3 linked regions of the Neurospora crassa OR74A genome follow. The protein of the gene in region 1 interacts with the protein of each later gene in a pairwise test. Links are inferred from orthologs where the notes say so. Each region holds a gene or a part of one and is shown in the gene's direction. Other genes may lie near its edges.

Region 1 (3,688 bases):
AAACCTACCTCGGCGGTGACGCTGGTGTATCTGGGCGCGGAGCAGCAGAGGAGGGAGAAGATAAAGGGGGCGGCAGGTGTCACGGCAACGGCAAGAAGCCCTGTCACCCCCGACGGCTCACTCTTGCAAGGACTGACGGATTCCGAGTCGTTGGAGAGTGCCTCATCAGGGGCAATCCCCCCACCCATCCCACGAGACCAGAGGCATGATTACCCTCGTCGCCACGGCTTGCGGGTTCCCCATGCTTTGAACGAAGATACCCTCCGCAGACTCGAAGGCCAAGACGGAGGAGCACAGCCGCCACAAAGACCAGCAGTCCATGACATCTATGTGCCGACCAGAAACTCCCAACGACAACAAGAGGCCCGGGATGGGCACATTGGTGGTCCTACCAGGCGAGACCAGCAAATCACTGATTCTAAATCAGGCGACTCCTACGCTGATTCTGCCCATCAGCGGTTACCGAGAAGCGACAGTGGAAGATCCTATAACTCATCCAGCGGCGGCGAAGGAGGGGAAAGACTGTATGAGCCAAGAGGAGCTGAAAGAAGAGATGTCGCCGTCGGTGATCCCTTTGGCACTCCCTCCTTGCAGGTGATATATCAGCAGCACAGCAGGAGGATACGAAGCCCATGATAATCACTGCCCCTGAGCCGACCTTGGGGCCTAGGAATTTGCATTTTACACCTAACAACAGATCTGCTGCTCGGAGAGTCGATGACGGGTTTTGACATCCTACCTGTGGGAAGGCTTGGAACACCGGGTATAGAGCCCAGGATAAACCATGACGCATCTTAACAGTCCGCAAGGGGGGGGAGGGAAGATGGTGAGGTAATTAGCCAGGGTAGTCGTGTGTCTGGGTATGGATGGAGGTAGTGAGTGAGGAGCATACATCGGCCTCTCCAAAAGTTGCATTGTTGGGCCATTCTTGCGGTTTTCTTTTGTGGGTGTTCCCTGAGATTTGTTCAAATGGGACACAGGCGGCAGACGTCGTTAAATGACTGTGATACTTGGTCCTAGAAACCGAGGTGGCAAAAACTCGGAAGAGGCGGCCGCGTCGAGAACCTAATGAGCAAGAGTTGTTGTCTCCTCTTTGGATAGGGTGTTCTCGGACAGAGGGCAGTAGGAATAAAATAGCATGAAAACTGTATCTCTGTATCGGTGTACGCCGTAAATACGAAGACGCCTGTGACAATGTTGACGGGGAGTACCATAGTGTTTGTGGTGTACGGAATTGGCATGAAGTGACAAACCCCCAGGGGTGACCGTTCGGTTCGTTGTAGCGGACCCCACAGGGGAACCATCCTGTCGCCTCCGTCATTCCCGTCTGGGCTCCACTGAATCTAGGCATCCGGCGGGGCCAATGGTGTCTAGTAGGTACCTTATTAGTATCCCGCATGCTGGGCTGGATTGGTCATCCAGGTCACATGTTAACGTGTCGCACTTCCCCAATTTGTAGGACGCGGGTCGCGCTCTTGCCTGCTGTTTTCGCCTCTGTCAACATTTGCGTATCCTTGGCTCCAGTCCCGCTCGCTTTTTTTTCTTCTTGCGCCTTTCTGTCTTGCTTTTCTGTGGCCATATCCAAGACGTTTTCGCTCGCTGCTGGTCATACATACCATCACTAAACGTAAAGAAACCCCGAAATTGTTGCACCGAAGAGCACAACAAATAGCACGATGTCGAACAACGAGGAGTACGATGAGTCTGCCAACATGGAGGACGACAGCGGGATACCAAACCCAGGCGCCCCAACACCACTTTCTGCTCTAGAGGTACGGATCACTTTCTTTGATGGATCCATCCGGATTGCAAACAACCAACTGACTTGCCTAGGGTGTTGCCGGACTTACCAAGCGAGACATTCAGCTGATTGTTGATGGAGGCTTCAACACCGTTGAATCTGTTGCCTATACCCCCCGGAGGGTACTGGAGCAGATCAAAGGTATTTCGGAGCAAAAGGCAGGGAAAATCCTGGCAGAAGGTCAGTAGCCAGCATTTGACATTCCTAGAGGTTCCATTTTGGGAGTGCATGATTACTGACACTATCATCAAGCCTCTAAACTTGTGCCTATGGGTTTTACTACTGCGACGGAGATGCACCAGCGCCGCAGCGAACTGATTTCCATCACGACAGGCTCCAAAAATCTGGATACACTATTGGCTGGTGGTATCGAGACCGGCAGTGTCACCGAAATCTTTGGAGAGTTCAGAACAGGAAAGTCGCAGATCTGCCATACTCTTGCGGTAACATGCCAGCTCCCATTTGACATGGGGGGTGGTGAGGGAAAATGTCTCTACATCGACACTGAAGGTACCTTCCGGCCTGTGCGTCTCCTAGCAGTGGCCAACCGATACGGTCTCTCAGGCGAAGAAGTTCTTGACAACGTTGCGTACGCAAGAGCCTACAATTCGGACCATCAGCTGCAGCTCTTGAACCAGGCCGCAGCCATGATGTGCGAGACCCGCTTCAGTCTGTTGATTGTCGACTCCGCGACCTCGCTCTACAGAACGGACTTCTTGGGTCGTGGCGAACTCAGTTCCCGCCAAACCCATCTCGCAAAGTTTATGCGCACACTCCAGCGCCTTGCCGACGAGTTTGGTATTGCGGTGGTGATCACCAATCAGGTCGTGGCGCAGGTTGATGGTGGTCCGTCTGCCATGTTTAATCCAGACCCCAAAAAACCAATTGGTGGCAACATCATTGCGCACGCCAGTACTACTCGCATCAGCCTGAAGAAGGGTCGCGGAGAGACCAGAATCGCAAAGATCTACGACAGCCCATGTTTACCAGAGAGCGACTGCTTGTTTGCCATCAACGAGGACGGCATTGGTGATCCTAGCCCGAAGGATATGGAGAAGATGAATCAGTAGTTTGCAGTGGGGATGGCGACAGCAAATCAACACGAAATTCATACAACAATCTAGGGACGCAAGGGGCTGCTGATTTGACGGTATAAGGATAATGTGTGTTTTTGATGGGCATAGCGCGTTTTTATTGTTAGCATGGGAGGGCAGCCTGGCGTCACACTTGTCTGGTATGACTGGTAAAACTTGGGAGTTGGTAGAGTTATCAATAACTACGGTACACTGTTTTTTTTTTCTAATACAATCGACGAAGTGAAGCCGTCAAAGTCATCTCGCCAACTGATCATTTGACCTGTGCAGAAGCAGCGTCTCGATGCTGAGGGCAAGTGTCACAGGTTTGATCATCCAAAGACCTCACCACCGAAGCTGAAGCTCTCGTTAACGTGAAGGAAATTTCATTGAAATCCAAGTTGCTGTCGTCCATACTCGTGATGCAACAGGCCATGCACCACATAATCTTCGAGGGAATGTGTCAGGACAAAAGGTACGCTCTGTGACTTGAAGTTACAGATTAAGGGCTATCATCCATCTAGCGTTGTTAATAAAATCGCGGATTTCAAAGGCTATTGCTTCCTTCTTGATGTGACGTACCACCTTGCAGTGTGTCCTATTCGCATAGTCTCTCACTAGCGCGGGATACTTGGGCTTAGCACCGAGTTTCCCCACCAACCACGCCAGCGATTGACTGACCCGCTGCAACTGCTACCGACGCTTGCAGCGTTGCGCTGTGCTTGGGAACTTGAACAGTTGAACTTCTGCTGCAGTGGGCGGCCAGAAATTCTGAAGCCAAAAGCAACAACCGCGTTTGCATCTCCAAAAAGCG
Region 2 (4,225 bases), on another chromosome or scaffold:
GGCGGCGGCGGCGGTGGAACTACCGGGCGTCCTGCTAGCAACAGCGTCAGCAGCAACTACAAGGGCCATTCACGCCCTGGCAGCGCAGCAAACGCGGCATCGGCAATGGCAGCGATGGCGGTTTCCAGCACGATCTCTGGCAGCCGTGCCTCGCTCCATAGTCGACGCAGTGTTAGAAGCTCTTCTTTCGACTTTGGTCGGCCGGGAAGCTCGGCCAGCAGCGGCGCCCTCGGTGTCACATTCAGCGGCCCCGGCGCACTCCCCCGTCCCAACCACGCATCATCGTCCTCGAAGCTACCAGGCGATAAGATTCACATTGCCGAGTGGACACCGCCCTCGCAGTCCCTCCGGCCCAGCACCCTTTCGGAGCGTGAACAGTTTGGGCATCTCATCGCCTACGTCAGGAGTCTTGAAGAAGATTTCCAAAAGCATAATTCGCTCAGGAGTCCTATGCTTCTGGCATTCTCGCCTCGATCAGTGAACGCGGCCAAGGCGATGACCAACTGGGAGAAGAAGAGCCAGCATCTCCTCAACGAGATTGTGAAGTACAGGACGTATGTAGACAGCCTGCGCGAGGCAGATATCAGGAGGTCGGAGATTTACCGTGAAAGGGAGAACGCGAGACGCGCGGCAAGGGGTGAGGATGTGGTTGACAGTGATGGAGAAGGCGAACCTTCACCTGGTGAGGTCATGGATGCGTCGCTGGAAAGGGAGGTCAAGGGCTAAGGGACAACATAATGGATGGATGATATGGTATGTCGTGAAGAGCTTGGGAAAGAAAGAGAAAGAGGGGCCAAAGGCGTTCAAGGTAGATTTTGGCGAAGATGACAAGCGTGACTTTATGGGGACGGGGATCTTTTATCGCTAAACACCACAAACACACACACACACACACTTCCTTTACGTTATACCATGGCATAGAGCAAGCGAGCATGCATGCACGACAAATTCTGTCTATCGTTACTTTCTGGGGTGCTTACGACTTGAGAATACATATTTAATACCTTCCTGGCACTTGTCGGTCTGGACCATAGGTCTCACTGAGGAGCATTTGCGAATGCCCTCAACATAGAACGACGACGACGGCATTGTTAGGTGTGACAAACAGTGACCAATCAGACGAAACTGTGGATGATGCAAAAGTGGAGACGAACAATCAAGGGTTAGGATTGGCCACACACTGTGCATAGTACTGCGTAGTCACCTACGTAACTACTTAACAGGGAAAGCTAGCCAAGATCATGTGATACCGTGTGAGGAAGGCGCGATTCGCCCCCCACCCTTCCGATCTTCGCGTCCAGTCTGTGTTTAGTCAACATTGTTAAGGTAAGCAGGCGCCAATCGCCATCTTCCTGCCTGGAGCCCGCTTCTCAGTCTTTTTGCGGTGGTTTTTTTTTTCTTCCCCCCTCATTTGCCTTCCGGATTTTTCGGTTGTTGTTCTTTTGAGTGACGGGCGTGAAATAAAAAAACTCCCAAATAGAGAAACAGGTCTAGCGTTGTTCCTAGGGAGCTACCGAGGCCGTTGTAACAAAGCCCGTTCCTTACAGCGAAGATGTAAGCAGACACCGTAACCTCCCCATGTATTCCTATTACCATTGATCACCAACATCACCACTCTCAACATCCGGCTACTAAGTAACACTCTGGATCTCGATAGGTCAGCATCCATGGTCTCAACACCCAAGGCCGCCTCCAAGGACAACAGCACCAACAGTCTCGCTCTCACTCAACGCAGCAAGTTCCCCACACCTCAATCCCTCGACAAACTCACCAAGCCGTTCAAATGCCCCGGCTCCGCGACGCGCACCGTAGCCGTCGACCGGCCGGCACGAAAGCGCAGAAAGATCGATTATAAAGGTGCTGGTGGCGAAGACGACGAGGATGGCGCCGACAAGCCCTACACCAACGCCGACCGGCTCGCCCTCGCCAACCGCGACGCCAACAAGTTCCCCGTGTTCGCGGTCAAAGACAAGTCGCAGGTATTCCGCAAGGCGTTCTCCGTGCCGCTCATCAACAAGAACACGACCGCGTACAACCCAAACCGCCCCCCACCCACGCTCGGCCTGAGACAGGGCGCCGTCTTTGTGGCTAAGCCGCTGCATGACCCGTGCGACGAGTTTGCTATTGTGCTGTATGATCCGACAGTGGATGATAAGCCCAAGGATACGGCGCCAGAGGCCATTGAAGAAAAGAAGGAAGAACCAGAGGTCAAGGTTGATGCGCCGCTGGTGCACAAGAGTCTGGCGGAGATTCTGGGCATCAAGAAGAAAGTCGAGGGTGAGCACCCTCGTGTCCCAGTGGTCATTGATCCCAGGCTGGCCAAGGTGCTGCGGCCGCATCAGATCGAGGGTGTCCGGTTCATGTACCGGTGCGTGACGGGCATGATTGATGAGAAGGCGAATGGTTGCATCATGGCAGACGAGATGGGCTTGGGAAAGACGTTGCAGTGCATCACGCTACTGTGGACGCTGTTGAAGCAGTCGCCGGATGCTGGAAAGTCAACGATCCAAAAGGCGATTGTGGCGTGTCCATCAAGTTTGGTCAGGAATTGGGCGAATGAGTTGGTCAAATGGTTGGGCGCGGACGCTATCACGCCCTTTGCCATTGATGGAAAGGCCTCGAAGGAGGAGTTGACGAGGCAGCTGCGGCAGTGGGCGATTGCCAGTGGACGGTCCGTGACGAGACCGGTGATTATTGTCTCGTACGAGACGCTAAGGCTTAATGTGGACGAGCTTAAGGGGACTCCCATTGGGTTGATGCTTTGCGACGAGGGCCACCGCCTGAAGAACGGAGACAGTCAGACGTTCAGTGCCTTGAACAGCCTGAATGTTTCGAGGAGGGTCATCTTGTCGGGTACACCCATTCAGAACGACCTGTCAGAGTACTTTGCTCTGATCAGCTTCGCCAACCCGGATCTCCTCGGTACTCGTCTCGAGTTCCGCAAACGCTTCGAGATTCCGATTCTACGCGGCCGCGATGCTGACGCCTCGGAAGCTGAGCGGAAGCGTGGTGACGAGTGCCTGGTTGAACTCCTTGCCATCGTCAACAAGTTCATCATTCGTCGTACCAACGACATTCTTTCCAAGTACCTCCCCGTGAAGTACGAGCACGTTGTCTTCTGCAACCTCGCTCCCTTCCAGCTTGACTTGTATAACTACTTTGTCGCCTCCCCCGACATCCAAGCTCTCCTGCGCGGCAAGGGCTCTCAACCTCTCAAGGCCATCAACATCCTCAAGAAGCTCTGCAACCACCCAGACCTGCTCGACCTATCGGCCGATCTGCCTGGCTGTGAGCAGTACTGGCCAGAAGACTACGTACCAAAGGAAGCGCGTGGCCGTGACCGCGACGTCAAGCCATGGTACTCCGGAAAGATGCAAGTGCTCGACCGCATGCTCGCCCGCATCCGCGCCGACACCAATGACAAGATTGTGCTCATCAGCAACTACACCCAAACGCTTGACCTCTTTGAGCGTCTCTGCCGCAACCGGCAATACGGTTGTCTCCGACTAGACGGTACCATGAACGTCAACAAACGCCAAAAACTTGTCGACAAGTTCAACGACCCGGAAGGCGACGAGTTTGTCTTTTTGCTCTCTTCCAAAGCCGGTGGGTGCGGCCTCAACCTGATTGGTGCCAACCGGCTCGTCCTCTTCGACCCGGACTGGAATCCAGCAGCGGATCAGCAGGCGCTGGCGCGTGTGTGGCGTGATGGCCAGAAGAAGGACTGTTTTGTCTATCGCTTCATCGCCACGGGTACCATTGAAGAAAAGATCTTCCAGCGGCAGAGCCACAAGCAATCCCTGTCGTCGTGCGTCGTCGACAGCGCCGAGGATGTGGAGAGACACTTTTCTCTGGACTCGCTGCGCGAGCTGTTCACTTATAGACCCGGGACCAAGAGCGATACCCATGACACGTTCAAGTGTAAGCGGTGTAAACCGGATGGGAGGCAGTATATGAAGGCGCAGGCCATGTTGTATGGCGATACTAGTACTTGGAATCACTTTGTTAACCATTGGGAGGGCGAGGACGCGGCGGGTAAGAGTGGAAAGGGCGGCGACCCGAATGGTGGTAGTGGAGGGATGAAGAGCATTCATGATCATTTGTTGAGGCAGGAGGTTGGGGAGAGGGATGTTAGTGCTGTGTTTCAGTATATTTCTCATTGAGTGGGTGGTTTGTCCTTTCTTCTTCTTTTTTCTTTCTCTCTCTTTTCGAGGAGGGTGGGGAT
Region 3 (3,997 bases), on another chromosome or scaffold:
GCGGCTCATTGCGCTCGATGATCTTGCGGGTTCGGCGAATGTTGAGGACGAGCGGGTGGTTTCGCGAGGTGGCATGGAGCTTTGCGTGATTCCGGTCGCCAGCGCAGCCTCCGTTAAAGCACTTTAAGCAGACATCCAGACCAGCTGGGTCGTCCTATTTACAGCGAGGCGGTTAGTTGCTAGGCTGGACATGGTAGATGGGGCTAGAAGAAGAGAGGAAAGGCCAGGATAGAGTACGGACAATGGAATCGAAGCATTGGGTACAATCCTCGCGGTAGACATTGTCGGTAGGCGACGGCTTCGCGAGGTCTGTTAGAATCGGTGTGTCAGAAATACGTTGTCCAGTCCTGAGTTAGAGGCGCACCACACATGATGGAAGCTGAGCTGAGCTCCAAAGAGCATGCAAACATGGAATAAGCAAGACTTACTTGCGGACCCGATGTGGGGGCACGACATGTTGGGCGGATTCGCGATGATGTATGAATGAAATCAACCAAGCTATGTTGTCTGTATTCTTGGTGTGTAGTTGTGTACAACTAGAAAGTCATCGAATTGTTGGATGAAGTCTACCGCCAAGTGAAGTTGTATTGCAGAGGAAGAGAAGATGGAAGAAGCGTGAAGGAAAATGGAAGCTTGCCGTAGCTGCAGGCAGTGAGCTGAGCTGAGGTATGATGTTGTGGGGTAACTTTAGCTGACGCGGCAGGCACTGGACAGCAACCACTCCCCAATCCCCATGTTCCAGGCAACCGCGCTTCATGGCATTCGCCCTGCCGCCTTCCATTTGTTCGAACCCCGCTGCCGTTTCATGGATTGTGACAGCGGACAGGGATGATGTGCTGCAGTCTGGGGACAATGGAGCAGGGATTGGCGCTTGCTTAGGTATCGGTGGTGGACGATCTGTTATGCATTTCTTAACATTGTGGCACGTTACACAGTGACAATGCAGATACGGTTTGTTAAGAAAGTGTCATTTTCCAGTTTGCAATCAAGAGGCAGAGTTTTGGACGGGAGGTACGTTTGACGGCGACAGAAATGCCCATTCGACGAGGTAAGAAAAGAGAACAAGGACCTGACTAAGTACCATTATAGTGTAGAAGCCCGTGCTTAGCATTTTCATCTGTCGTCGGCTGGAAAAAAAAAGTCCAAGGGAAGCGAGTGATCGTCCAGAATTCCAAGTCAACGACGACCGAATCGCGAGACGTAGGTACATTCGGTGTTCCGTAATCTGATCATCTTATCTCCGCGGCAAGTGGAGCTCAGAACTGTCTTGGCTCTCTTTTGTCCAACCGACCAAGCCGACGTCGGGGATGACGCCCCCCATGTCCGTAGCAGCGCGTCTTGTCACTGGCCTAACAGAAGCCTGGCTGTTTTGGTTGGTGATTGTGCTCCGCTTTTGTTAGGAGAGCTCTGACCAACCCCTCTTTTTCGTATCCCAGTCCCGAGTGCAGCAAGTCGCCCCCTTGGGTCATCATCGACTTTTTGGCGACCAAGTGCCGCAAGCCCGCAAATCCGCAGCCAAATCCGCAAATTCCAGCAACTTTTAATCCCCAAGTCCCGTCCGCCGCCAACCTCTTTATCTCGGCCTCTTTGACTTTTCGCCATCCACTCATCACCAGAACTCGTCTCTTGCATCACCGATACCTATCCTACAGAAACAACAAAACAACCCAAGACAAAACGAAACGAAACAAAACAAAAACATCACAATCAACACATCCGCAACCATGTTTTCCAGATCCGTTCGCGCTGTTTCCGGCCGCGTTCTCGCCAACGCCGTCCGCCCTACCGTCATGCCGGCTGCGCGCCAGATTGCGCCCGCCGTTGCCGTCGTCGCCAAGAGGTCCTACCACGAGAAGGTCCTTGACCGTGAGTATTCCCATCGCGGCCACGCATTCGCGCCCTATTCCACCTTGGATATGGCATATCGGCAAACATGTACAGATGCTAACATGTCTCAATATCAGACTACTCGCGCCCTCGCAACGTCGGTACCCTCGACAAGAAGGACAAGTCGGTCGGCGAAGGTCTCGTCGGCGCCCCCGCCTGCGGTGATGTCATGCGCCTTCACATCAAGGTCGACCCCGAGACTGGAGTCATCAGCGACGTCAAGTTCAAGACCTTCGGCTGCGGCTCTGCCATGTGAGTATTGTCTCTTTCGTCACTGATAGACACGGATGCCTCGGGAAGCCATGGGGGCCAAGAAAAAGTGACCGAAGCCACGGGCGATACGAAATTGATACCACACAACGATCAAATGAAACGCGAGCGACGACAAACTAGTTTCATCGACGTATAGTTGCAACTACAACACCTCGGTTCAGCATAAGCAGGGAGGATGAGCAGAGAAATGCGACACCTGAAAGTTGAAACCTCCAGGCCGTTACACCCCAGGTTTCAGTGCTGCTTGGGTGTGCGCGCGAATAAGCGATAACCTCCCCATGCCTTTCCAACGCCTTCGACAAACGGAGAACGATATCGAGAACTACTCGGATTCACTACCTACGATTCCTAAAAAACGACGATAGCTTGATCATTGGCTTCCCAAGGCTTTAGTGTTACCATAACGTTCTGAGCTCAGCTTACTAACTCCCTTCAGTGCCTCTTCCAGCTACGTCACCGAGCTCGTCCGCGGTATGACCCTCGAGCAAGCCTCCAAGGTTAAGAACACCGAGATTGCCAAGGAACTCGTAAGTCTAGACCTGTTCTCCGTACCATGCTCCTATGCCTCTCGTGCACTATGAACTAACCGTGTTACCCAACACCCACAGTGCCTCCCCCCTGTCAAGTTGCACTGCAGCATGCTTGCTGAGGATGCCATCAAGGCCGCCATCAAGGACTACCGCACCAAGAACCCCCACGCCATGCCCACCAACCTCGCTGGCACCGGCGCCAAGTTCGAGACTGCCCAGGCCGCCTAAACCGGTCATCTACTGATTAGCCAGCCAGCTTGGGAGGATCTTAATGGGGCTTGTATGTTGGAGAAAGCTAAAAGTGGATTTTGCACAAAGAGCCGCAAACCTTGAAAAGGTCGGCCATGCATGCGTCGTGGGGTTTGTTGTCTCTTGTTTCTCATGGCGGGGGTTCTTGAAGGGATTATCATATCATCCATTAGCGGAGTCTTTCGGAGTTTTGGATTGATTTGGTGGGTAGTTCTTCTTTCTTGTTGTCGTTGTTGTTGTTTGTCCAACACCACAACCACTTTTTTGGGCTGGGTTGTTGCTGGCTGCGTTGTTATAACAGAAAAGCAAGCTCATTCTCCTTTCTAAACCTTTTATCCTGTTATGCCGCAACCTCATTGTCCCCATTTGTATGTTTATTACGATGACTTATGCGAATGGTATAATGTCAACATATAATGCACCCATACGACTGATTATCATGTGCTTGAAACAGTTGTAGTCATTGTTTCCTTTTAGTTTGATCGAAGCTTCCATCGGCTATTAGCTCACCCAGTTCATCGTTCCTTAACGATATAAGGCACTTCTCAACCACATTCGACAGCCTGCCTCTTCTCTCCCCGGTCCTTCTTCAGCACAGATCACTTTACAACTCCGATAATTCACACTAACCTTTACAACTCCGATAATTCACATCAACCAGCACGTACCCGCCCTTCCCACAAAAGCCATGGAAACGGACCCCGAATCCGACCTCTCCGCCCTTGGCTCTCAGCTCTCAAGCGACGTGGCAGACAACCAGCTCGACATTGAGTCCACCCTTCGCTCGTCCCAGTCCAAAATCAAAGAGCTGAGAAGAGAGCTCAACGCGGTCGACATTGTCATCGACAAGTTATTTGCGAGCTATACTGCCCTAACTAAGGCGTGGTCTAAAGTTGATCAGAAGGCGGGTTTGAGGAGGGAGCGAGAGTCGAGGGAAGGGAACGATAACGGGGAGGATGGGGAAGAAGGTAGAGATGAAAAGGAGGACGATGACGACAAAAAACGGAAACGAAAAGATTCCAGTGAAACAGAAGAACCTACTGCGACTACAAAAAGTA

Evidence for each region. The genes of interacting proteins can lie anywhere in the genome.
Region 2: the proteins of mei-3 (region 1) and mus-25 interact in binary tests that used the Schizosaccharomyces pombe proteins (3 or more experiments, as listed by UniProt). The link is inferred for Neurospora crassa OR74A from reciprocal best matches to the Schizosaccharomyces pombe genes rad51 and rad54.
Region 3: the proteins of mei-3 (region 1) and NCU05778 interact in a two-hybrid assay, tested with the Schizosaccharomyces pombe proteins (2 studies listed by BioGRID). The link is inferred for Neurospora crassa OR74A from reciprocal best matches to the Schizosaccharomyces pombe genes rad51 and isu1.

What each region holds. Positions count from the first base shown.
Region 1 is NC_026501.1:3,388,658-3,392,345, forward strand, and holds mei-3 (MEI3), read left to right. Parts: upstream 1-1,458; 5' UTR 1,459-1,676; coding exon 1,677-1,772; intron 1,773-1,833; coding exon 1,834-1,981; intron 1,982-2,053; coding exon 2,054-2,871; 3' UTR 2,872-3,142; downstream 3,143-3,688. Other genes in the region: NCU02740 (hypothetical protein), read left to right, coding at 1-636. UniProt on the Schizosaccharomyces pombe protein: Required both for recombination and for the repair of DNA damage caused by X-rays. Binds to single and double-stranded DNA, in the presence of magnesium, and exhibits DNA-dependent ATPase activity.
Region 2 is NC_026507.1:2,823,210-2,827,434, reverse strand, and holds the start of mus-25 (DNA repair and recombination protein RAD54), read left to right. Parts: upstream 1-1,311; 5' UTR 1,312-1,552; coding exon 1,553-1,554; intron 1,555-1,657; coding exon 1,658-4,163; 3' UTR 4,164-4,225. Other genes in the region: NCU02347 (Sec7 domain-containing protein), read left to right, coding at 1-726. UniProt on the Schizosaccharomyces pombe protein: Plays an essential role in homologous recombination (HR) which is a major pathway for repairing DNA double-strand breaks (DSBs), single-stranded DNA (ssDNA) gaps, and stalled or collapsed replication forks.
Region 3 is NC_026507.1:3,797,113-3,801,109, forward strand, and holds NCU05778 (iron sulfur cluster assembly protein 1), read left to right. Parts: upstream 1-1,494; 5' UTR 1,495-1,724; coding exon 1,725-1,866; intron 1,867-1,964; coding exon 1,965-2,139; intron 2,140-2,596; coding exon 2,597-2,687; intron 2,688-2,768; coding exon 2,769-2,918; 3' UTR 2,919-3,383; downstream 3,384-3,997. Other genes in the region: NCU05777 (ubiquitin carboxyl-terminal hydrolase 14), read right to left, coding at 1-154, 242-309, 429-456; NCU05779 (hypothetical protein), read left to right, coding at 3,628-3,997. UniProt on the Schizosaccharomyces pombe protein: Scaffold protein for the de novo synthesis of iron-sulfur (Fe-S) clusters within mitochondria, which is required for maturation of both mitochondrial and cytoplasmic [2Fe-2S] and [4Fe-4S] proteins.